Linked DNA regions of Pelodiscus sinensis. The protein of the gene in region 3 interacts with the protein of the main gene of each other region in a pairwise test. Links are inferred from orthologs where the notes say so. Each region holds a gene or a part of one and is shown on either strand. Other genes may lie near its edges.

What was found.
Region 1: the proteins of QKI (region 3) and SNRPA interact in binary tests that used the Homo sapiens proteins (3 or more experiments, as listed by UniProt). The link is inferred for Pelodiscus sinensis from reciprocal best matches to the Homo sapiens genes QKI and SNRPA.
Region 2: the proteins of QKI (region 3) and RBFOX2 interact in binary tests that used the Homo sapiens proteins (3 or more experiments, as listed by UniProt). The link is inferred for Pelodiscus sinensis from reciprocal best matches to the Homo sapiens genes QKI and RBFOX2.

Annotation. Positions count from the first base shown.
Region 1 is NW_027465849.1:7,412,419-7,419,972, forward strand, and holds the start of SNRPA (U1 small nuclear ribonucleoprotein A), read right to left. Parts: upstream 3,023-7,554; 5' UTR 2,864-3,022; intron 2,812-2,863; exon of another isoform or gene 2,788-2,811; intron 2,106-2,787; 5' UTR 2,081-2,105; coding exon 2,008-2,080; intron 1,731-2,007; coding exon 1,558-1,730; intron 1,441-1,557; coding exon 1,264-1,440; intron 1,015-1,263; coding exon 841-1,014; intron 508-840; coding exon 419-507; intron 282-418; coding exon 122-281; 3' UTR 1-121. Other genes in the region: ACTMAP (actin maturation protease), read left to right, coding at 3,449-3,702, 4,487-4,555, 5,572-5,696. UniProt on the Homo sapiens protein: Component of the spliceosomal U1 snRNP, which is essential for recognition of the pre-mRNA 5' splice-site and the subsequent assembly of the spliceosome. U1 snRNP is the first snRNP to interact with pre-mRNA.
Region 2 is NC_134711.1:93,540,639-93,548,382, reverse strand, and holds the start of RBFOX2 (RNA binding protein fox-1 homolog 2), read right to left. Parts: upstream 3,080-7,744; 5' UTR 2,841-3,079; coding exon 2,652-2,840; intron 1-2,651. UniProt on the Homo sapiens protein: RNA-binding protein that regulates alternative splicing events by binding to 5'-UGCAUGU-3' elements. Prevents binding of U2AF2 to the 3'-splice site.
Region 3 is NC_134713.1:116,033,336-116,041,090, forward strand, and holds the start of QKI (KH domain-containing RNA-binding protein QKI), read left to right. Parts: upstream 1-4,734; 5' UTR 4,735-5,367; coding exon 5,368-5,509; intron 5,510-7,755. UniProt on the Homo sapiens protein: RNA reader protein, which recognizes and binds specific RNAs, thereby regulating RNA metabolic processes, such as pre-mRNA splicing, circular RNA (circRNA) formation, mRNA export, mRNA stability and/or translation.

The DNA.
Region 1 (7,554 bases), on a different chromosome or scaffold from region 3:
GCTGGAAAACCGGCCAGCCCTGCGGCCAGACTTACCTGCCAGGGAACTGGTTTAAAAAGGGGGGCTGGTTGAGAACAGACTAACTGGGGGTGAGGGGAGCAGTCCTGGGCCCCGGGGGGCTTCATTTCTTGGCGAAGGAAATCTTCATGGCGTTGCTCTGCGTGATCTTGAAGCCCTGGAGGGCGTCACGGGCAGCGCCAGCCTGCACCTCGTTATCGAACTCCACGAAGGCGATGTCGTGCCGGCCAGGCACCAGCCGCACCTCCTTGAAACCCGGGAACCTGGGGGGCAGGATCCGGCCATCAGAGGGACAGACCCCTGGATTGCTCTCGTACCCCCACCGTGCCCACAAGCCACACCTCCCCCCCAGGGGGTAGCCCCACACGGCACGCCCAGAGGGCCCAGGCCCCGCACTCACTGATTGAAGAGCATGGAGAGCATGAGCTCGTTGGTCTCCTCCGGCAGGCTGGTGAGGAAGAGGATGTGGTTGGGCGGGTTCTCCGAGAGCTGAGGGGGAGAGAGCAGAGTGAGGCCGGGAGCCCTGCAGGGCGGCGCCAGCCAGACGCCCACAGCAGGGGCAGTGCCCAAGGCAGCCCCCTCCTCACCCCCATTACCAGGGGAAAGTGCCCCCGATCTCCATGCACCAGCGCCCTCCGGGCCTCAGCACTCCCGGCTTCTCAGCAGGGGCAACTGGCTCGGAGATCATCCCACACGAGCCTCCGAGCTCTCTTCCACTGCCCACCGCAGCCTGCGTCTTGGAGGGGAACGGCCCAAGCCCCACGCCTGGAGGAAGCTCTGGTCCGACCGGGCGGCTCCCAAGCCGTGCTCTGTTGTACTCACCTGCTGGGTCGGCGGCATCTGGCCTGGCATCATCTGCTGAGGGGCCATTCCCCCAGGAGCCATACCCCCCGGAGTCATGCCAGGTGGGGGGATCATGCCCGGAGGGGGCATATATGGCGGCTGGCCTGCCATGTGGTGCATCATGCGAGGGCCCTGGTTCATTTGTGGCATCCCCTAGGAGAAAGAGAGAGGGAGGCCTGGCTTCACAGCAAGATCCTGGGTGCAGAGCTGCCCTGGAGGCTTTGAGAGCTGGCAGCCCTGGCACTCACAGCTGTCCGCAGAAGCCAAACACAGCCGGCAGCCTTTGCATCTGGGAACAGCCTGAGACCACACTGGCCGCACAGGGAAAGGCTCCCCCATGGCCCTAGCTTCGCCTGCCAACCAGCCACTGAGCCAGTCAGAGAAGCTGCTGGTGTTACTTACAGGGACAGCTCCTTGCACCGCAGCTGACACCGGCGCGGTCGTGCCAGGCATCTGCTTCTTGACCGGGGGCGTCTCCGGGCCTTTGGGCTTCCTCTTCTCCCGCTTGCGGTCCCGCTCCACATAGGTGCCTTTCATTTTCGATATGATGTCCGAGTCTGACTTGGCGTACTGGATCCTCTGGCGGGAGATACCATTCATCAGGAGGAGCACGGCCAACCGGCACCTCTGGCCACTCCAACAGCACCCTCCAGACTGGCTCCCTCCCCAGGAGGGGGGGCAGCACGCAGCACTTACCATGGGCTTGTCGTAGAAGGGGAACCCCTGCATAGACCTTAAGGCATTTGTGGCACTGCTGATTTCCTTGAAGATGACGAAGGCTTGGCCTCTCATCTTCAGACTCCGAGACACCAGGATATCCAGGATCTGGCCAAACTGCGAGAAGATGGCGTAGAGAGATTTCTTCAGCTCTAGGGGAGAGGCACACAGTTAGGCACACGGATCGGACAGACACCGCTCGACCGCCACGAGGAGCTGTGCACACAGCGGAGCTGGGGCAAAGCAAGCAACTCCGGTGCACACCTGCCACACCAAAGAGAGGGGGTCAGTCCTCCTCAGCCAGATGGCACCGGGGACGGCCAGGGATTAGAGCCCCTGCCTCCTCCGAAGTACGCGCCGTGGGTACCAACCCCTCAGCCCACCCACACGGCCAGCCCAGGCCAGGAACGCCCGCGGGAGTTGGCTCACCATCCTTCTTGATCTTCTCGTTGAGGTTGTTGATGTAGATGGTGTGATTGGGGCGGGTTTCCGGGACAGCCATCCTAAGTGCTTCGCAACCACGGGGTCTAAGGAGAAGAGACAGTCAACGGACACACCCGAGCCATGGCGATGTGGTTCCCCAGGCCACAGCAGCCCCATGATGGGCGGGGGTGGGGGGGGTTTGGCTCCAGGGGTCATGGCCCCCAGGAGATCCCCATGGTGCCCATCCAGTAGCTGGAGCAGTGGGATCCCAGCAGGTCAGAGCTTGCACAGGGGTGTGATGCGCGGGTAACGCCCCCCCCACCCCCCTGCGGAGGGGTGTGATGCGCGGGTAACGCCCCCCCCCACCCCCCTGCGGAGGGGTGTGATGCGCGGGTAACGCCCCCCCCACCCCCCTGCGGAGGGGTGTGATGCGCGGGTAACGCCCCCCCCACCCCCCTGCGGAGGGGTGTGATGCGCGGGTAACGCCCCCCACACACCCGCTCGCTCACTCCTGCCTGGCCCAGCCAGCACACACAGAGAGCCAGGGCCGCGTCTGGGGTCATGACCTCACCATGGGGGGGCGGGTCAGCAGGGCAGCCCCGCCCCCCACTGTACGACAGCCCCGCCCCCAGGGAGCTAGGGCGCCCACCCTGGGGGGAGGGGAGCCAGCACGTGGCTCTGCGCCCGGGAGAGACCCGGATGTAGAGACCACCCCCCCCCCGGGAACCCCACCCCCTCGGAAAACGCCCCCTCCCCCGCCAATACCGCCCCCTCCCCCGCCAATACCGGGCTGCCCAGGCCGGGCCCGGCCCCGGCTCCCGACCCCGCGGCCCGATGGCCCGGCCCCGCCGCGGCCGCTCACCGATGGAGCCCGATGGAGTCCGCAGGCCCAGGCCGCCCGCCGCCGCCACACGAGCCGCGCCGAGAGCGCCGTCCGCGTGGGCCAATCAGCACCAAGCAGCCTCGGCCTCACCAGCCTATCCAAAAGCGCGCCCTGCCAGCCCCGGCCAATGAAAGGACGTCGGCCCCGGGCCTGGGAGCCAATCCCGGCCGTGCCGCGCGCCTGGAAAGGGACCAATCCGCAGGGGGCGAGCGTGGCTCGCCCGCCTAAGCCGGGTGGTCGGCAAGGTAACTCCCGCCCCCTGAACGGCCATTGGCTGAGAGCAGCTGTCAGTAGCCGCTGTGGCTCTGCTGATTGGCGGCCTTTGGCGCGCGCCCCGGAAGGAAGGGGAGACACAAAGGAAGCGGGTGTCCAACCACGTGACTAGACTCGTCCGACCGCAGACCTGTCCCGCCATCGCCTTCTTGGGGGGGCACCTGACACCGCCCCCGGTGGCGACCCCTGACCCCTCCAAGCCACGCCCCCTCCCCCCGCCCGCCAACTGACCTCTGACCCCTGGCCTAGTCTGCGCCCTTTGACCTCCTGCTGCCCCCAGCCAGGGCGGGGATGGCCCATAGGGGTGGGGTGCCTGCCCCTCCCCCACCCACTCTAACCCCCCACCAGGGCCCTCCCCCCACCCCCCAGCCCGGCCCTGCCTTGCCCCCTCCCCCGCCGCCTCCCCCGCTGCCCCCCCCTGCTCAGTCCCTGCCCGTGTGCGGGGTCGACAAGGCCAAGTTCTTCAAGGCGGCCCTGGAGCGAGCGGCCCCCGCGCCCGGGGGCAGAGACGACGTCCGGGAGCTGCTGAGCCGCAGGACAGCCAGGTGGGGCCCCGCCCGGTCACCCCCCCGGGCTGGGTCCCGCCAGTCTCGCCTGCTGAGCCGCGCCGGGCCTGGGTGGGCGACCCGCTTGGTATTCCCAGCGCCAGGGGTGCCCGTGCTGCAGGGAGCGGGTCTAGGGCTCGGCAGAGGGGCACTCTCTCGGCAGCGCAAGGGGGCATTGTGGGGCAGGGAGCAGGGCCGGGGCTCAGCAGAGGGGCACTCTCTCGGCAGCGCAAGGGGGCATTGTGGGGCAGGGAGCAGGGCCGGGGCTCAGCAGAGGGGCACTCTCTCGGCAGCGCAAGGGGCCGCTGTGGGGCAGGGGAAGGGGGAGGCATCGCTCAGCTCTGACCCCAGTTCCCCAGGATGGCCATAGAGATTGGTGTGTTGCTGGAGGTTCCCGTAACTCTAATGAGACATAGACGTTCATGCCTGGTCTCTGCTCTTTGCTCCAGAGCCCGGGTGTGCTGAACTCCAGTGTCCTGGCCAGGGCCTAATTCGGATCATTCCATTTTGCTTCCCTAAATTCAGTTGGCCAGGCAAGAGGGTACAGGACCTTGGGCCACTTCCTGTCCCATAGTGGGGCGTGGCTGTGTGGCCGGCCGACAGTGGCCACATCCCACCCCAGAGACCGCCGCAAACCCTGCAGCAGATGAAGTCAGCACTCTGCTTAGTTCTCCCAAAAGGAGGAGACATGATCTTCACATTAGTCACGCGGAGGGGCCCACATTGGGGAAGAGGGGCTGCGGGGCAAACGGGCAGTAAGAGCTTGTTTGGGTCTTTCTTTCAGCTTTAGCAGGCATTTAAAGTGGCTTCTGTACAACAAGCCGGTGCCTTCCTTAATCCAAGAGGGACCTCAGTGAGTATTGCAACCACGGGCAAAGGAAGAGGGGAGGGGTTTGGGGTCCCAGTCCTATGGAGCCACAGCTTCCCCGTCTGGCATTTACTCCCTCCCCAAAAGTTGCCAAGAGCTGTTCTGTGAGCATGGCAGGGCGAGGAGCATAGGCCTGGCCAGTCTGAGCTGGCAGGGAGCTGGCTGCTGTTACACACCAGTTGTGTTACGTCAGCGCCTAGGACTCCCAGCCACGGACTAGGCCCCTGTTGGGCTGGGTCCTGGACAAACATCCTAAAAGACCATCCTTGCCCCAGAGCCGTGCAATCTCGGGCTAAGATAGAGCCAGTCCGTGGAGACAGACAGAGCACGGAGTGATGGGAGACCAGGAGACCATGCCAGTGTAGTGGCCAGGGGTCTCCGCACAGCGGCGGTCTAATCTCCGTGAGGTGTCTTGGAGGTGTCCCAGCAAAGGAGAATTTCCCAGAGCGCTGCTCAGGAGGAAGAGGAGGGAGCCGTGTGGATATTTACGGGGAGCTCCGCTCCAGCAGTGGGCGAGAGTTCAAAAGGCCGGGGAAGCATGACTCGCTGTGTCAGAGGGAAAAGGAGCATGAGGAGGTAGCACAAGGTCTGACGAGTTGATCTAAACGTAACGTCCCACTCGGGGGCAGTCCTTAGAACTGTCTGGCCTCTTCCACCTTGAGCAAGCATCCCTAGACAAAGCGGCTGCTCCCCCTAGCCCCCGCTTGGGGGGGCGAGTGGCAGCCTCCGTGAGTTGTACCTCGCACCTTGGAGAGGAGGAACGACGCCAGGAGCTGGTGTCTGTGGCCAGATGCTCCCATTAGATCATATCATAGCCCCAAGGGGAAGCGAGAAATGTGGGGAGGCCGGGAACGGGAGGGAGAGGAGGCCAAAGGACACGGTGACCCAGGGAAGCATTCCAGGGTGGACTGTGCTGCAGAGAATTACCTGTCTTTGAATCCAGCTCAGCCTGGGGACCGGGATCCCAGCAATGTCTCTTCTCCCTCCCCCTCCCCCCCCAGGTGCGGGCTGGTGGCACTGTGGATGGCAGGCTCCCTCCTCGGTCTGTCCCAGGACATCTCCCTGGAGAGGATCCTGCGGGTAGCGTTGGAGAGAGGCTACACCGCCCAAGGGGAAATGTTCTCAGGTCAGTCGTCACAATCGCCCACGGCAGGCGCTTTGCACTGGGCTGGGCGCTGGAGGGACTCTCCAAAGCCCGTTCCGGGCTGCGACTGGGTGAGGAAGTCCAGTCCCCAGAGGGCCCCGTCACCGGTATGTGAGAGAGGGCCCCAGGGAGCCATGGGAGCTCTGCTCTCGCCATGCTGAAATTCAGACGTTGCTGGGAGCCGGCCGCCTTCCCGGAAGGGCTGCTTTGGGCTCGGTGGAGGGAAGCTGGGGCCCGCGTAACAGCCTGTGCTGGACCGGAGGTCAGATCCGATGAGCTAATTGTCCTTTACTCTGAGCCCTGCCTTCTGCCTGGCTGCGGCTCCTGGCTCTGGCCCTCCAGTGAGGTTCGTTTGCTTGGAAACTTGCAAGCGCCTTGGTTGGGAAAATCCCCACGGCCGGGCTGCTAATTTCCCGGCCGAGGCAGAAGGCCCCTCTGGGAGCCGCGTCTGGCTAACACCGGCCTCGGGCAGAGATCGTGAGACTCTCCTACGCCCTCAGGGCTGGGGACTCCCCTTTGGCGCTTTTCGGGCCCTCACTGTCCAGCCTGCCTGGACACTTCTGCTTTCTTTGAAAGCACAAGATCCCTTGGAATCCCGGGGCTGCAGGAGGTGGGGCTTTGTCGGGAAAAACACCGGCTCTCCTTGGCAAGGCTCCCGCATGCAGGCCCCAGCCTGGATGAAGGCCCCAGTGCCGGGTAACAGTGTGGTACGTTCTCTCTGATTCTCGCAGGGACTGGTAGGATCAGCTGGCCCCAGCTCCTGTAGAACAGGGGCCACAGGCCTGCCCTGAATTTGCTCCTGGGTGAATGAAGCTGATCTTTCCAAACACCAGCCTGTCTGGGTCTAAACGGCTCCAGCGACAGACCCCACCGCAACCCTGCCAGTCGCAAATTCCCCTCCCCATTATAGATCTCTGCCCGCTTCCTGTCTGAATTGGTTTAGCTTCACCTCCCAGCCCGGGCTTGTGTTTGATCTTTGTCACCGGCCCTTGGAGATCAAATTGCCATTGCCCGTGTCAGATCACATCCCCCGCGGTGGGTTTCCCTTGCGAGCCGTTGGGGCGCTGCTTAGGGGAGCAGAAAGCCGGGGATCCTGAGCCAAGCTTGGGCCGTGCAGCTAGGGGTGGGCCCAGGGGTGGCCCTAGACTAGCTGCCAGCAGCTGGCGCCCTAGGCAACCCATGCAATCGGCACCTCCACCTCCAAACTCCTCAATGATCTGGCGCCACCATTTGGCGCCCCATTTAACTTGGCGCCCTAGGCGACCGCCTACTTCGCCTATATGGATGGGCCGCCCCTGGGTGGGCCCGAGGGCAGCTTGAATTCCTGTCCCTGCCTCTCCCAGCGGCTGACATGGCCCAGCTGGCCGAGGAGGTGTTCCCGTGCCGGGCAGAGCTGCTCTCAGGAGGCCTGGAGGGAGAGAACCAGGAAAGGATCCTTCGCCATCTGACTGCTGGCTGCCCCCTTCTGCTGCCGTATCCTTCCCTTGAGAAGGGCGGGTGTGTCCCCGGCGATGCCCCATCTGTGCTGGTATCCGAACCGCAGCTTGCACGGGTGGGTGGGACTGGTGGGGTTCAAATCCCCCCGGAGAGCAGGCCCGGTGGTGTCATTTTAAAGGCAGATGCAGCTGCTTCTGGGGTGGGACGTGGCCACCATGTCGTTCGTCTCCTCTTCCTGGCTGTGGGGGCGGGGGAGGTTGAATGGGGAGCAAGTGCGTTTCGCTCTCCTGGCAGTTAAATACACCCCCCTGCCCACCCCGCCCCCTTCTCCTGCCTGCACCCTGCCCGTTGGGGGCAGGTTCTGACAACAGCAGATTTCAAGCTACAGCCCCTCTCCGGTCAG
Region 2 (7,744 bases), on a different chromosome or scaffold from region 3:
CTGGCAGCCTGGGAGGATAAAGTGGCATTGGAAACTGAATACATGATGTCCCAAATCAAGTTCAATTGATATGATCTGAAGAGGTGGGTTTGCCCCACGAAAGCTCATCACCTAATAAACCATCTTGTTAGTCTTTGAAGTGCTATATGACTTTCTTTTGATATAATGGGGTGAGAAAGAGGGATGTGTGGTGGAACATGGGAAGTGGGAGGGATGTGGCAGAGAAAACAACCAGGAAGGGCCACACACAGGAGAGCGCCAGACTAATGCAACATAGTGGGGGAAACACTTCCATGGGACACAAATGTCCCTCCCTTCAGAGACTATTAAGAACCACAAACCCAAGCAGGAGTGAAAGTAGAAACCACACGATGAATTAATCTCATTGTTTTCAAAGAGCTCCAGCACATTCAGTGCAAGAAACAGCAGAAAGAAGCACTGAGACCAACTGCTTACCTCTAGCAGAAAAACACTGTGGCTACGTCTACACTGGCCCCTTTTCCGGAAGGGGCATGTTAATTTCAGCGATCGCAGTAGGGAAATCCGCGGGGGATTTAAATATCCCCCGCGGCATTTAAATAAAAATGTCCGCCGCTTTTTTCCGGCTTTTAGAAAAGCCGGAAAATAGCGTCTACACTGGCCCCGATCCTCCGGAAAAAGCGCCCTTTTCCGGAGGATCTTATTCCTACTTTGAAGTAGGAATAAGAGCCTCAGGAAAAGGGCGCTTTTTCCGGAGGATCGGGGCCAGTGTAGACGCTCTTTTCCGGCTTTTCTAAAAGCCGGAAAAAAGCGGCGGACATTTTTATTTAAATGCCGCGGGGGATATTTAAATCCCCCGCGGATTTCCCTACTGCGATCGCTGAAATTAACATGCCCCTTCCGGAAAAGGGGCCAGTGTAGACGAGCCCTGTGTAAAATACAGCCAGAGAGAAAAATAAATACACTCCATAATACCCTCTCTTTCGTTTAACAGTTGCACCTCCAAACTAGTTGTTATTTACAAGCATACAAGAGCATGATCCGACTAAGTGTCATTAATCTGTAAAACATATGCACGATGGCCGAACCATTTGCCTTTGCCACTCCCATCCATAGCATCTCCCAAGGCAGCACTGCCATTACACAGACTCTGATACTGTACACAGAAGCTACAATCAGAGGGAGATATTCAGCCATGGGGGAATGAAAGGCCCAGTGAAAAACAAATAGGATCAAAACTGCCAAGAGAAGAAATGTACTCTCAGTAAATTAAAAGAGTATATTGATATGACATGTGCCCATATGAATTCATAAACTGATGCCCATCTGTATCTATAGGAGAGCAGATTCTAAGGTTACAGACCAGATCCTCCTTGTTCACTCATGATATCCAAGACACCTCTGGCTCCATACTCTTAATACTTCAACCACATGATGCTTCTTACCACGCTGTAAACTATAGAAAATAGGAGTTCTGCTTTTTCCCATTTTTAATGAATGGGGGAATAATACTGAAGAAATAACAAGAAAAAGCAGTAAAGGAAATGCACAATAAGCAGCTGTCACCAATCTGGGGTACCCAAGAGAGAAATAGGCATCCAGTCAGTGCAACAGACATAGTAATCTGGGAAAAGAAAATATGTTAAAGAAGGGCAGTCCCCATGCTGAACACCAACAATGCTACAACATTCTTTGTCATTTTAGGCATTACTACACCTTTAACAGGAAAAGTCAGTGCTTAAAAAAACAAAATATGGGGCAGAATGATCTATTTTCAAGATTGTGCTTTTTTAATAAATTGGCGAACAGAACAGTAAAAGACAGTCTGAATACTGTATACCTTCACTAATTATAATACCTCAGATTACTATTAAATCAATTAGCAAAAAACACCTATTTTTACTTCAGTTTTACACTGAGCATTTAAAATCACTTTGTATGTGGTCAGTTTCATAATACCTCTTGTATTGCCCCATCAGTTTCTCCATTACTGAGGAGACCCTTACAATTGTCAACTGGGTGGCGGGACACAACCAAGTGAAAAAATTGCAGAATTTGTTTTTAAAGGAATTTTAATTAAAAAAAAATAAGCCACGTGATTTAAGAAAGTACTGGCAAATACAACAGCTTAAAAACGGTCCTTTTGATCAAACAGCTGAAATCCTCAGGGTCATTCTCCAGAATTAGCACGGTCTTCCCCTTAGAAACAGTAACTTCGTGGATTTGCTCGGCGCTGGGACAAGGAAGGACGAAAACCCCTCTCGGAACACGGGCTTCATTTCTGCTACCAATGGGACCACCAAGCTGCGGGTGGGGAATTGACCCCCCCCCCAAATAAATCCCACATCCCGCTCCGATCTCAGCCTACGGCCGCAGGAGACTGCCCCATCCCTGTAGGCCAGCGCCCCGCTGCTCCAGAGCTGCTCTCAACCCTCCCGCTGGGTCGCTACCTGGCCAGCCGCTTTCCCCTTTTCGCGCCGCTCCCCGCGGCCCGGCGCCCCTGCTCCCCCCCGCCCCGCGGACCCCACCGCTCCTCGAAGCGAGGGTCTCGGCGCCCCACATCCCGGCTACGTGTCCGCAGGCAGCGCGGGGGGGGGCGCCCCCCAGCCTACACCGCCCCCCGGTCGCGGCCCCCCAGCGCAGCCTGCCCGCTGGGCCCGGGGCCCCGCTACCTGCATGCCGCCGCCGCCGCCCGCCTCCGCCTCCGTCCTCAGCCGCTTGCTGTGGCCAGCCTCGGCGCCGTCCCCTCCGGGCATGGGCTGCTCCTGCTCCGGCTCCCGCTTCACGCCCCGGGGGGCTTCGCCGCCGGGGACGAGCTGTTGCTGCTGCTGCTGCTGCTGGGGCTGGGTCCCCTCCGCCATCCGAGCCCGACCCCCCGGCCGCCCCGCGTCCCCTGGGGGAGCCGCCGCCGCAGCCGCACACGGGCGAGAGGGTCCCCGCCTGGCGCGATCGCCCGGTGGCGCTGCGGGCCCGGGGCCGGCGGGACGAGAGAGCGCGTCGCGGGAGCAGCAGAGTCCGTCCCGCAGCGGCCGCTCCACCAACCTACTGGGCACTGACTCGGGCCGGCCACAGGGGAGGAGGCGGTGGCGGCGGCAGCCGGGGACGGGGGGGGGGGAGGGGCCGGAGCTCCTCGGCTATCTCCGGACACGCCAGCTAGGGAGCCGAGGCAGCGCGACCCCGCTCGGCAACCTTCGGGAATGAGGGAGGGGCGGGGCCTCGGCAACCTTCGGGAATGAGGGAGGGGCGGAGCCTCGGCAACCTTCGGGAATCAGGGAGGGCGGGGCCACGCGCGGGGTGGTGGGTACTTGGAGCCTGCCTGCCCGGAGAAGGAGAGCGGGTGGGAAGGGGAGGGGCTCTTGCGTCCCCAGCCCGGGCACGCGCGCCCTGCTGTGCTTGGTGCTCCCTGCCCCCGCTCACTCGAGCGGATCCGCGCCTGCCTTAGCTGCCCGGTGGTGAGGGGAGCATTAAACGCGACGCCTTTTCACCTCCTGGCTTGTCTGCTGCACGTCGGGCTCTAGGTATGAGAAACAGGCGCCCCCAGTGCGTGCCCGCTTATTCACTGGCATGTGGAGTGTTGGCATGCCTGCTGGCAGCGCTATGCAGCCACAAGCTGGCCGCTCTCTCTTCTCACATGAGCTTTCTGGGGCTCTAATCCTTTTCACTGCCTGGCTTGCAAATCTCCCCCTATCTGCTACATCCTTGTGGAGACAAAGTGAACGCAGCCAGCGCTGCAGGTGAGGGCAAATTCTCAACTTAATCTACTCTATATTTTAGAGAGGTGGTTTCAAGATCTCCTCCTAAACAGGAGGGCTGTGTCTAGACTGGCCAGCTTTTCCGGAAAATCAGCCGCTTTTCCAGAAAAATTTGCCAGCTGTCTACACTGGCCGCTTGAATTTCCGCAAAAGCACTGACTTCCTACTGTCTGAAATCAGTGCTTCTTGTGGAAATACTATGCTGCTCCCGTTCAGGCAAAAGTCCTTTTGCGCAAAGCTTTTGCGCAAAAGGGCCAGTGTAGACAGCTCAGATTTGTTTTCGGGGCTTTTTTGCGGAAAAGTGCATCTAGATTGGCATGGATGCTTTTCCGCAAAAAGTGCTTTTGCGGAAAAGCGTCCGTGCCAATCTAGATGCTCTGTTCCGAAAATGCCTTTAACGGAAAACTTTTCCGTTAAAAGCATTTCTGAAAATCATGCCGATCTAGACGCAGCCCAAGAGCTAGGACAGGAGTAGGCAATACTTTCTGAGGGGGAGCACTCCAAGATTTTGGTAAGTGGCCATGGGCTGCATTTCAATGAAGGGAGTGGGGTCTGGGATGGAGACTGAGTGCAGAAGGGAGCATGGGGTAGGGTATTAGGGTGCAGGAGAGGGTGTGGGATCTGAGAGAAAGTTTGGGTGAAGGAGGGGGTTGTGACCTGGGGTAGGGGGTTGGGATTCAGTGTTGGAGAGAGCATGAGTGCAGGAGAGGATTCTGGCTTGGAGAGGGAGGGGTTAGGAAGAGACAGAGGGTCTGGGAGGGAGTTGTGACCTGAAACGGGGAAAGTAGGTGCTGAGGATTTGGGTGGTGACCTGGGGAATGGGAGTGCAGAGGGTTGGAGGGGGAGATTGGTGTGCAAGAGAGAGTGCAGGGTTGGAGGGGGAGCTGTGACCTGGGGAATGGGAGTGCAGAGGGTTTTTGCAGTGACCTGGGGCAGGGAGTGAGGGTGTAGGCGGGGCCGGACTAGGGGGTGAGCAAGCCAGGCAGCTGCCCGGGGTGCCAACTGATGGGGGCGCCTGATGGCAGCTGTAAGGGGCACGCGGCGTCCCACAGCGCACCAGCCCCCCATCCCCCTGGCGCCAGCCAGTAGCACCCTTTCCCCCACAGCTGTGGGGCCCTGCATGGCCAGGCGCGGCCCGCCCTGGGCTGCGTGCCAGCAGCAGTGGCTGGGCCGGGCTGGGCAGCGCATGCGCCCCAGGGGCAGACGCCGGGCTGCGTGCATGCAGCCGTACGCCCCGGGGGCGGGCCTGCACATACGCCATGCTCCTGGGGGCAGTGCCGCGCGCCCGGGCCCAGGGCGCCAAAATGGCTCTGGCTGGCCCTGGGTGCGGGAAGGGATGGGGTGCCGGAAGGGGTGGGGTGCCAGATGCTGATTCTAGGAGCTGCTATGATTGGGCTGGGAAGGCAGCATGCAAAGTCTTCCTCCTCCTCTCCTCCCCCAGTTGCGTAGTGCAGAGAGGCACATGTAGGGAACAGCTAGTGACTTTGAGCTTGGGTCTGTGACAAGCAGGGAACGTGCCTGAAGGTCCCGGTAGGGTAGGCTGCAGGCTTGATCTGGTGCATGGGCCATATCTTGTCCACACCTGAGCTAGAACCACCAAATTCAATATACCAGCTTCCTCTTATCATAACTTAAAACAATGTAAGGATTTGGTTGCGCCAGGAAAATGGCACGTGCCTGGAATGGGATTGTTTCTCACAAAACCAATCAGAAGAGAGACAGAGTCACCAAATCAAGTACAGTCCTCAAAACTGACACAGGACAGTTTTACCGGTTATACTGGTATAATTTTACCAATACAATTAAATCAGTATAATTATACCAGCACAACTCCTTGTGTGGACACTCTTATTCCAGTTTAAGAGTAGCTTTTTCTGGTTTATCTGAAAGCCTTTCCGAAGTAACATAAGCTAAATTGAAAACAAAGTACCAGTAGGCCTTCTACTCTTAAAAATTCAATCAGTCTAGCTACCTAGCTCAGGACAGTGAAAAATGTCATGCCCAATGCAATGTGGGCAGGTCACTGTAGATGCAGCTTGAATTCTTCATCAATGTAGTTCCCACCTCCTAGAGAGAGGCATTAACTACACCAACAGGAAAAAGCATCTATTCATGTAGGATTATCTACACTACTAAAGCACAGGTGTGCTGGTGTAGTGTAGACATATCCTTGCACTGAGATAAGTGTCCATACAGGGATTTGTACTGGAATAAATTTTTTAGTTTTAATTATCACCTTAGCTTTTAATGGTATAACTTTCCAGTGTGGCCTAGCCCTTAGGCCTTGTCTACATGAAAGGTATTGTTTTGTTGTTGTTGTTGTTTGTTTATTGGGTGAGGCCAGAATTTGCCCCATATTTTGTATGCTATTTGATAAATTCTCAATTAGAGACCAGTGTAAACCACAGAATTAGTCTTCTTTATATTTCGGTATCTGAAGTTGTTACATAGGAACAGGTCATTGTTCCATCTGGCTGATCATCCCACCTCTGACAGTAATCCCCCCTTGATGCTTCAGAGCAGTGGTTTTCAAACTATGGGTCATGACCCAGTACTGGATCGTAGAATGTCAGGCACTGGGTCTGGTTGCTGCAGGGGGATCAAGTGATCAGTGAGGGTGCTATGGCAGCTACCTGTACCTCAGAAGCAGCCAGCTGCAGGCCCAGCTCCTAGGTGGTGGGGGGAGAGCACACAATGTTCTGTGCACTGCCCCTGACCTGAGCACTAGCTCCGCACTCCCATTGGCTGGGAACCTGCTGCTGGTTGCTTCTGGGGCGCAGCATGGTCTGTGGTGGCAAGAGAGGCAGGAAGCTGCCTTAGCACCCCTGCTGCATCACTGGTCAGGAGCTGCTTAAGGTAAGCCCCTCTTACTCCAGCTCTGATACCCTCCCCCCCGCAAGCCGGAGCCCCCTTTTACACTCTGGTCAAATTATGTTGGGTTGCAGGCATCAACAATTTTCTTCAGTTGGGTCATAAGAAAAAGTTTGAAAACCACTGCTTCAGAGGAAAGGGAAAAAACCTATGTTGGACCTATCCAATACAGGCAGTCCCCGACTTACGCGGATCCGACTTACGTCGGATCCGCACTTACGAACGGGGCTTTCTCGCCCCGGAAGTCGGGGCGAGAAAGCCCTGTTCGTAAGCTGCTCCGGTGCCCCTGGTCTGCTGGAGACCGTCTCCAGCAGACCAGGGGCACCGGGCGGGTTCCCGCGCTTCTGAGGCCTTGCCAGAGCAAAGCCTCAGAGGCGCGGGGAACCACCGCTGCTGCCGCTTCAATCTGGGTGCCTGTGGTCTGCTGGGGACGGTCCCCAGCAGACCACAGGCACCCAGATTGAAGCGGCAGCAGCGGCGGTTCCCCGCGCCTCTGAGGCTTTGCTCTGGCAAAGCCTCAGAGGCGCGGGACCCCCCCACGGCTGCGGCTTTAGTCCGGGAGCCTGTGGTCTGCTGGGGACCGTCCCCAGCAGACCACAGGCTCCCGGACTGAAGCCGCAGCCGCGGCGGGGTCCCTCGCCTCTGAGGCTTTGCCAGAGCAAAGCCTCAGAGGCTCTGCTCCCCGTGTCTCTGGTCTGCTGGGGGGGGGGGGCAGCTAGTGTGCTCCCCCCCCCCCCAGCAGACCAGGCTTTTGTTTTGGACTCTGGGGCAGAGCAGCTGGGGCGCTGCCGATTGGTCCTGCAGCGCCCGCTCTGGGCACTACTGGACCAACCCGGCAGCACCCCAGCTGCTCTGCCCCAGGTCCTGATTCAGCCGCTGCTGGTCAGTTTCAGCAGCGGCTGAATCAGGACGCCTGGGGCAGAGCAGATGGGGTGCTGCTAGGTTGGTCCAGTAGCACCCAGGAGCGGCGCTACTGGAGCAACCCAGCAGCACCCCAGCTGCTCTGCCCCAGGCGTCCCCAAGTCAGCTTCTGCTGAAACTGACCAGCGCTGACTACAGGAAGCCCCAGGCAGAGTTGCTCTGCCCGGGGCTTCCTGGAATCAGCTGCTGATCAGTTTCAGCAGCAGCTGACTTGGGGACGC
Region 3 (7,755 bases):
GCTCATGGAGACTGATCTACTATTTTACACTGGACGTAGTACTTTCATATCATGGTTAAAACACACACAGAGGCAGTATCAGAGGGGTAGCCATGTTAGTCTGTAACTTTAAGAAAGTGTAGTCATGTAACACGTTAGACCAGTGCTTCCCAATTTTATTTGGTCACAGAACCCTTTTAAATTCAAAATAATTTCGCGGAACCCCTAATAACAGTCTTGTATATGGAGCTGAAAACGTAGACCACAAATAAGTAAGGATAATAATAAGCAAATGCTAAACAAGGTCATGAGATCAACATTTAGTTTAATTGCACATATTTAAAAATAAAAATCACATTTAATGTGTACAAAAAATAAATCTTAAAAACTAATATGCATTATTTTGGCAGTTGTCCTACAGACAAGATCCAAAACTAGCTTACGTGACAACGACAAAATTTTATCTTTCGAGAGCACTGCCTGCGCACTCCCACACAATCAATTCTTTTGACAGCTGAAGTGTCGACTTTGTTCGAAGCAGTGCTAGTATATTCGTATTCAATCACCCACATGATCTACGCTCCCTGAAAATGAGTACGGTGATTTATGGTGGTATATAACAGGTGATCACACTACTGACGGTGCATGGCACAGTGCTGAGTAGTGATATCATCGTCCCTACCCTCTGGCTAAGCTGGCATTACACAGGGACACTTATAGTGGCAAACAAAAGAAAATTATTTTCAATAAAATTAATAAATGCTTAAATTTTGTTTAAATCATAAAACATTATTGCAATAGAAATTAATCACGGAACCCTTATTTTAACTTTGCAGAACACCATTTGGGAAACACAGCATTAGACTAACAAAATATATCATGAGTTTTCAAGAGCAAAACCCACTTCAATATGGAGTTGCTGGCATTACTTCTTCTATGATTCTTGTATTAGCTCTCCAGAACTGTAAACTTAAATTTTAAATTAATTTAATTATTACATAAGAGGAGAATGCCTATTTGCTCACTGATGTCCTTAATTACATTTTTTCCAATTTGAGAACACACCCCTAAGAATGTCTTACATATAGTAACACATGTACACACACCAGATCAAAAAACTAAACCATGACACCTAGAAAGGACACAAATGTAGTCTTAAGACTGACTTGTCTGTATGTGACATCCTGTTCTGTAACGTATCCCAAAAGTGTTCTTGGTCAAGATGTGAACTACTCCGATACATTTGAGAAACAGCCAAAAAAATTCAAGAGCCAGAAGAAAGAAAAAAAGCCTGTAACCTTGTTATTAAACTGGGCCAGTGGTTTTACATCAACAGCCAATGCCTTAAATATTGCTGCAGTGATACTGGAAGAGTAAGAATCTAATTTAAGAAACTAATTCATAACACTGCTACTCCCTCTTTGGGAACAAAACTACCATTGTATGTGCTTTATTATTTTCCAGATAAAAGGAAACTATCTTGATTGTTTTTCAGTAACAAGCCACTAATTTGACTTACCTGATTCTTTGCTTTGCTCAAAGTATTGGTATGCAGACAAAATCTCACAGAAAATGCCTCATCTCATTTCTAACTCAAGTATGTATATTTAAAATAAGATACAGGAAAAAACGCAATATCTGTGCTAAACTGATAACTATGCTTTCCCTTAAAATTTCAGTACTAGACAATAAACAACAGTAATGAAATAGTAGATGGCCCAAAAAGATTGACTCAAAATGTCGTTTTACTTAGTTTAGCACTGGATGCATTTTATTTAGAAGAACATTTTATATTTGTTATATTTAATAGAGCACTAATTTGTATTTACTTAATTTGAATTTCAGACTTGAAAAGCCAACAGTACCTAGTTGAGTAATTTTTTTCCCCAGTTATCTATAATTTTACAACAGAGCTTCAGAGAGGTAGCCAAGTTAGTCTGTCACAGGAAAAACTTAAAAAACAAATAGTCTAGTAGCACTTTAAAAACAAAACATGTAGATGATGTCATGAGCTTTCGTGGGCAAAACCTACTTCTTCAGATGACAGCCGTATAATGAGTCCAGATCCAAGGATAAATGGGGGGTGGGGGAAGGAGGGGAGGAAGAAAAAGAGACAGGGAGTAGATAAAACTTAAAAAACAAGGATTAGTTTAGTAGCATTTCAAAGACTAACAAAACATGTAGATGGTGAGTAGATAGTTCAGGTAGTTACAGGGTCTGTTAAGAACCATTAGCACCATCGTTGGTTGGTTGGTTGGTTGTTATTAAATGGTGGAAGAGCGTGTCTGAGCCATTCACTACCCCTCTTTAGACCATTAACATAAGAATTAAACTCGTGAATGAAGTTAAGTTCCAATCCTTCTTTGTGTATTTGGCTTGTAGAAGTGGTCTGAAACAAAACCAGGACTTGAAGATCCATTCATGAGTGTCCAGGAAGATTAAATTGTTCTCCAACAGGTTTTTTGTGTTGCCTTTTCAGATATCTGATTTGTGTCCATTAATTCTTTCCTGTAGAGACTGTCCAGTTTGGCCAGTATACATTGCAGTGGGGCATTGCCACCATTTGATGGCATAAAGTTCCACCACCCTATACCAGAAACCTACTGACTGCTACCCTTACCTTCATGCCTCTAGCTTCCATCCCAGACACATTTCCCAATCTATTGTATACAGTGAAGCCCTAAGATACAACCATATTTGCTCCAACCCCACAGAGACAAACATCTACAGGATCATGCACCTATAGGAGCATCTTAAAATTGAAATACCCACCTGAGAAGTGAAAAAACAGATTGACAGAGCCAAAAAAGTCCCCAGATATGAACTACTTCAAGACAGGCCCAGAAGAGAAAACAACAGAATTCCACTTATCGCCTATAGTCTACATCTTAAATCCCTCTAACACATTATCAACAATCTATAACCTATCCTGGAACATGACCCCTCACTCTCAGAGGTCTTGGGAGAAAGGCTACATGTTTTGTTAGTCTTTGAAGTGCTACTAAACTAATTTGTTGTTTTTTAAGTTTTTACAACCTAGAGCAGGGGTTGGCAAACTTGGCTCATTGCCTGTCAGGGTAATCCACAGAATTTGTTTACCTTGAGCATCCACAGGCATTGCTCCCCTCACCCTGCAGCTCCCAGTGGCCGCCTTTCACCATTCTAACAGTTCCCATTGGTTGGGAATGGCAAACTGTGGCCAAAACCAAAAGGCAGCTTGTCAACTAAAGTATGTGAATGTACTGCTTCAACCTTGCTCCTGCTGTCAGAAGTGCCCTACTTCACACAGTAATGCCACCTCTATAAGAGGCATAGAGCTTAATGGATGTAATTGGGATGTCAGTGAAGACCCTATAGATTATTTGATTTGGCTCTGAGTTGTCATTCTTGTGAATTTCCCAGCTCTATAGTATGAGCCACGAAACTGACAGGAAAGCCATGCAGCTCCATCTGTCATCCCAACATGGGTGGGCTCTACCTAGAGCCTGGCAACCCTGGAGGGGCTCCTTGGAGGGAGCCCAACAGCTGCCCCCCCACATCAGACACAGAGGTCCCCACGGAGCGCCTAGGAAACACGGATGGAGGAAGCTGCACTCCAGTAGGGAGCTGCACAGAGTTGAGAGCTTGGACTCTCCGTCCCCACCGGTATTGCCCCCTCTTTAAGCCACTAGAGTTGCGCTGCCGGTGAGGATGCGCACGACGGACAACAGGTGAGATGCACGGCTCTCGTGAGGCGGCTGTAAGTTAGCCCAATGTGAGCGTGAGGGGCAGGCGTGCCCTAAACCCCGTTCGCTCCCGCCTGAGCAAACGCTGCCCTGTGTTTATGGATGGTCTCACCACTCGGCACGAAGAGCGTCGCACGAAACGCGGAGCCTGCTCGGCGTCTACTGCTCGGGAGCTCGGGGCCCGCTAGGGCTGGGACGGGCTCTGGCTCTCCGGCCCCGCGGCGCGCACTACGCGGCCTTGCCCCCCCCAAGTCCGGCGCGCGGGCTGCGCAGCCCAGAAGGGGGAGCCGGGCGGATGCGCCGCGCTAGAGGGGACGGTGCCGGGATGGGCCCCAGGGCTGCCTGGTCGGTTCCCAGCCCGGGGCGAGGAGCTGCCCCCTCCGCGCTGCTGAGCGCCCCGGGATCCCTCCCCGCTCTGGGCGCCGGGGTAGCTGAGCGGCCGCTACCACGAGGCGTGTCCCGCACCTCACGCGTGGCTGCCGGAGGCTCCTATCAGCCCCGCGCCGCCCCTGCCGGCGACGTTGCTGTGGCTGCCGGGCCGTTACTCCTCCGCCCGCGTGACGCGCCACGCTCCCGGCCTCCTTTCCTCGCGCCTCGGCGGGAGGCGGCGCCAACGAAGCGACAACAGCCCCGTAAAGACGCGAAGTGTGAGGAGCACAGTCGCGCATGCGCCCCTCGGCGGGGCTTTCCCCTTCCTAGCAGCACGTGACTCCTCCCCCCCTCCCCGGGATGAAGTAACAGGAGTTTGTTTTGAAGAGTTTTTTCATGCGTGCCTCTCTGAGGCGAGCCGGGGCCGCGCGCGCGGGGGGGGGGGGGCGGGGAACAGCGCGAGCCTCTCTCCGCGTGCGCCGCACGTAGCTCTTCACGTGCGGGGGGAGGGAGGAAAGGAAGGAAGAGCCGCGGAACGGCCTCCTGGCTCCGCCTCCCCCTATTCCCGTCAGAGCTTCCCCAGGGAGCTGCGCCCCCCGCCCCCTGGGCCCCGAGAGCGCGAGTGAGGCGCGGGTTGGCTCCGCCAAGTGGCGCCGCCGCTGTTCCCTGACTAACGGCCGCCCCGCCCCTGCTCCCTCCCCCCGGCGTGTCCCTTCCCCTCCCCCCCTCGTGTCCTGCCCCCTCCCCTGCCGCCGCCGCTGCTGCTGCTACCAGCGCAGCCTGGACTGAGGCGAACTCCGGAGCGAACTGAGGAGAAGTGAGGAGGCGGCGGCGGGGCTGAGACTCACCAGCCACAGGCAACGGGAGGGAGGAGGCAGGCGGCGAGGACACCGGGCGCAGCGCGGCGGCAGAGACCCAGCAGCGGCCGGGAGGAAACAACCAGCGGCGGCGGCTCCTCGGGAAGCAGCAGTGCCTGGCCGCCCCCCCTCCCTCGCCGTGGAGAGCAGACAGGGGCAGCGGCGCGGAGAGGAGCCGGGCTCAGCGTGTGCGCGCGGGAGGAGGAGGGGGGACCTGGAGGACTGCGCCGACCGGCCGGGGGCGCACGGAGCCGGGGAACCAGGGGCGACCGAGTTTCCTCCTTTCTGCACCCGGGACCTGGCGGCGGGGTTGGTTTGTTGCTGATTGAATCTTCTTCCTCCCCGGGGAGCCCCCCTCCCCGCCCGGATCCGGCCGGGCGCCCCGTGCCGTGGTTGGGCTGCGCGGCGGGCGCTCGCGGGCTCTGCGCGATTGGAATATGGTTGGGGAAATGGAAACCAAGGAGAAGCCGAAGCCGAGCCCCGATTATCTGATGCAGCTGATGAACGACAAGAAGCTGATGAGCAGCCTCCCTAACTTCTGCGGGATCTTCAACCACCTCGAGCGGCTGCTGGACGAAGGTAAAACACTCCCCCGGGCCTCCGCGCTACTCCTTGGAGCCGCCTGCGTTCTCCATTCCAACCCCAAGAGCCGGGGGTGGGCGCTTCCCTGGCTCCTTCTCCTCCCGGGTCTCTTCAGACTCGATCTCGGCCTTTCTCTTCACAAAACAAAGGGGCAGTGGGGTACCTCCAGTTTGTGCCTGCAGCATCAGAGGTGTGGTGGGGGATCTCGTCTTGTGTGGTCCCCCCCCCTCCGGTTTTCTGCACATTGTCTGTTAAATGAGGGGAAGGGGAACCACTACCTTATGGAGGAGAGGGAACGAACAGGAAGGGGAAAGGCGCTGAGGAATGTGGTTTGGGGGGGAGGTGGGGGGACGGGAAGGTCGTTTTCAAGCTGTGTGGCTACTGGATCACGCTGGAAAGTATTGAAGGGAGAAATAGTACTATGTGGTGCCTTTTTTTGGAAGGGGGGCGGTCAGTCGACTTATTTTGCGGGCCTGGAGCCAAGGGAAGGGTGTTTTGGTGTCGGGATTTGGCTGTTCTGGAAGCTGCTTCAACTTGAACGACGAACGCCTGAGAGGCAGAGCTCCTTCCCCTTCTCTGGCACGGGCCCCCGCATTACCCCACCCCAAACTGGTCAAAGTAATAATTAAAAATTTCCTAGCGCCTGAGAAGGGAGCAGACTCTTCTCTCAGTTGTCGTTACCTTTTAAAGAAGCTAACCTAAAGAATCCTACGTGTGAGTCTAGTTACTGAAAAGAATTAAGAAATAAATTCTCTGCTGCCAAATGTCCGCTGCTGCCTTCAGCCAGGGCGCCGTCTTTTCTGAGCCCCGCACCCAACTCCTTGCAAAGGGTGCAGAGAGGCCGCTTAGTCTGGGCCACATTCGTTCTCGCTTAATGATTCTTTTTCCCGGAGAGTGTTTACAAATCAATTATCTCATTTTAAAAGAATGTCAGACGTTTGAAACCTCAAACGTCGTCTGCCTGTTCTCTTTTAATAACTGCGTTATTGTAGCGAAGTTAAGTAGTCTCCTTGTATTTAGGGGGTTTTTTAGGCTCTTTGTATGTTTAGGGTACCCGTTGGTGCTCAAACAATAGTACTCAGCTGAATGTACCGCCACTCACCTTGGTGGGAAACTACAAACTGAACTATTTAAATTATATTAAGCCGACTTTAGTAATCTGTGTAGAAATGAAAACCGTTGAAACAATTTCAACTGTGTGGAGAGTTTAACAAACTACAGGATTTTGAGATCTTATTGGAAAGGATTTCTGCCTGCAGTAATATTCCTTATTACTTGAAAGAAAACTTTGTCAAAAGATTTACTTCAGACGGGAAAATAATTGCTTATATTTCATGGGACAAAATATTTAAAAATGTGAAAATGAGAATGTAGCAGAAAATAACCTACCCAGAAAAGTACCTTTTTGGAAGGAAATGACTGGGGTGAAAAACAAGAATTGGTATAAATGGACTCTAGTAAGCAGTATTTCCATGGAGAAATTGTTTCTGAGGATTGCTTTTATAAATCTGGAGTGGATAAACGTGGTCATCACAAGAAACTACTTAGAACATATAATTATGATTGCTGTAAAATATTCTTCAGAAAGATTCAAAAACAAGGGATGTAAAATCAAAAAGAAACTGTATGAAGACACATTTAAATATACATGAACTCCACAGTGGCTTGGCAATGGATTTTAAAAAGTTCCTGAAGACTCTGAAAGTTATATGATCTGGGTGGGGGGGAGCCCTACTAAGTTTATTGGTCATAAGAACAAAAGAAACATCTCTTGTTTCAAATGGATATTGAAATAGAGGAATACATGAGGTCACTGCATCTTTTGAAGGTCATTGAATCCTGGAATACTTGGAAATCTGTTCTTTTAGCAAAGTTTGCTAAATCCAAAACAATGGATATGAGGACTGTGTGATGGAAGTTTAAAAACGTTACTGAACATTCACCGTCTCTTTTTCCAAACTGCTCATGCATTTTATGTTTCTGAATAGCCCAGGAAGCATTCTGCTGCTCTTTCAAGTATTCCTGCTCTTTTCTTGATTGCATTGGTGTTGGGATGGAAGAATTGCGGAGGCCGAAAACTTTCTGGAATGTTTAAAAAAAAAAAAAAAAGTTGCTTGTAAATCTAGTGAAAATTTCAAAGTGTGAACACTAAGGGGCGCCAGTTCTTTCTTTTTGTGAGAAAGATGAGGACAGATTTGTAAGGTCTTGCTAACCTTAATATTACAATTAGTATCTTTACTAGA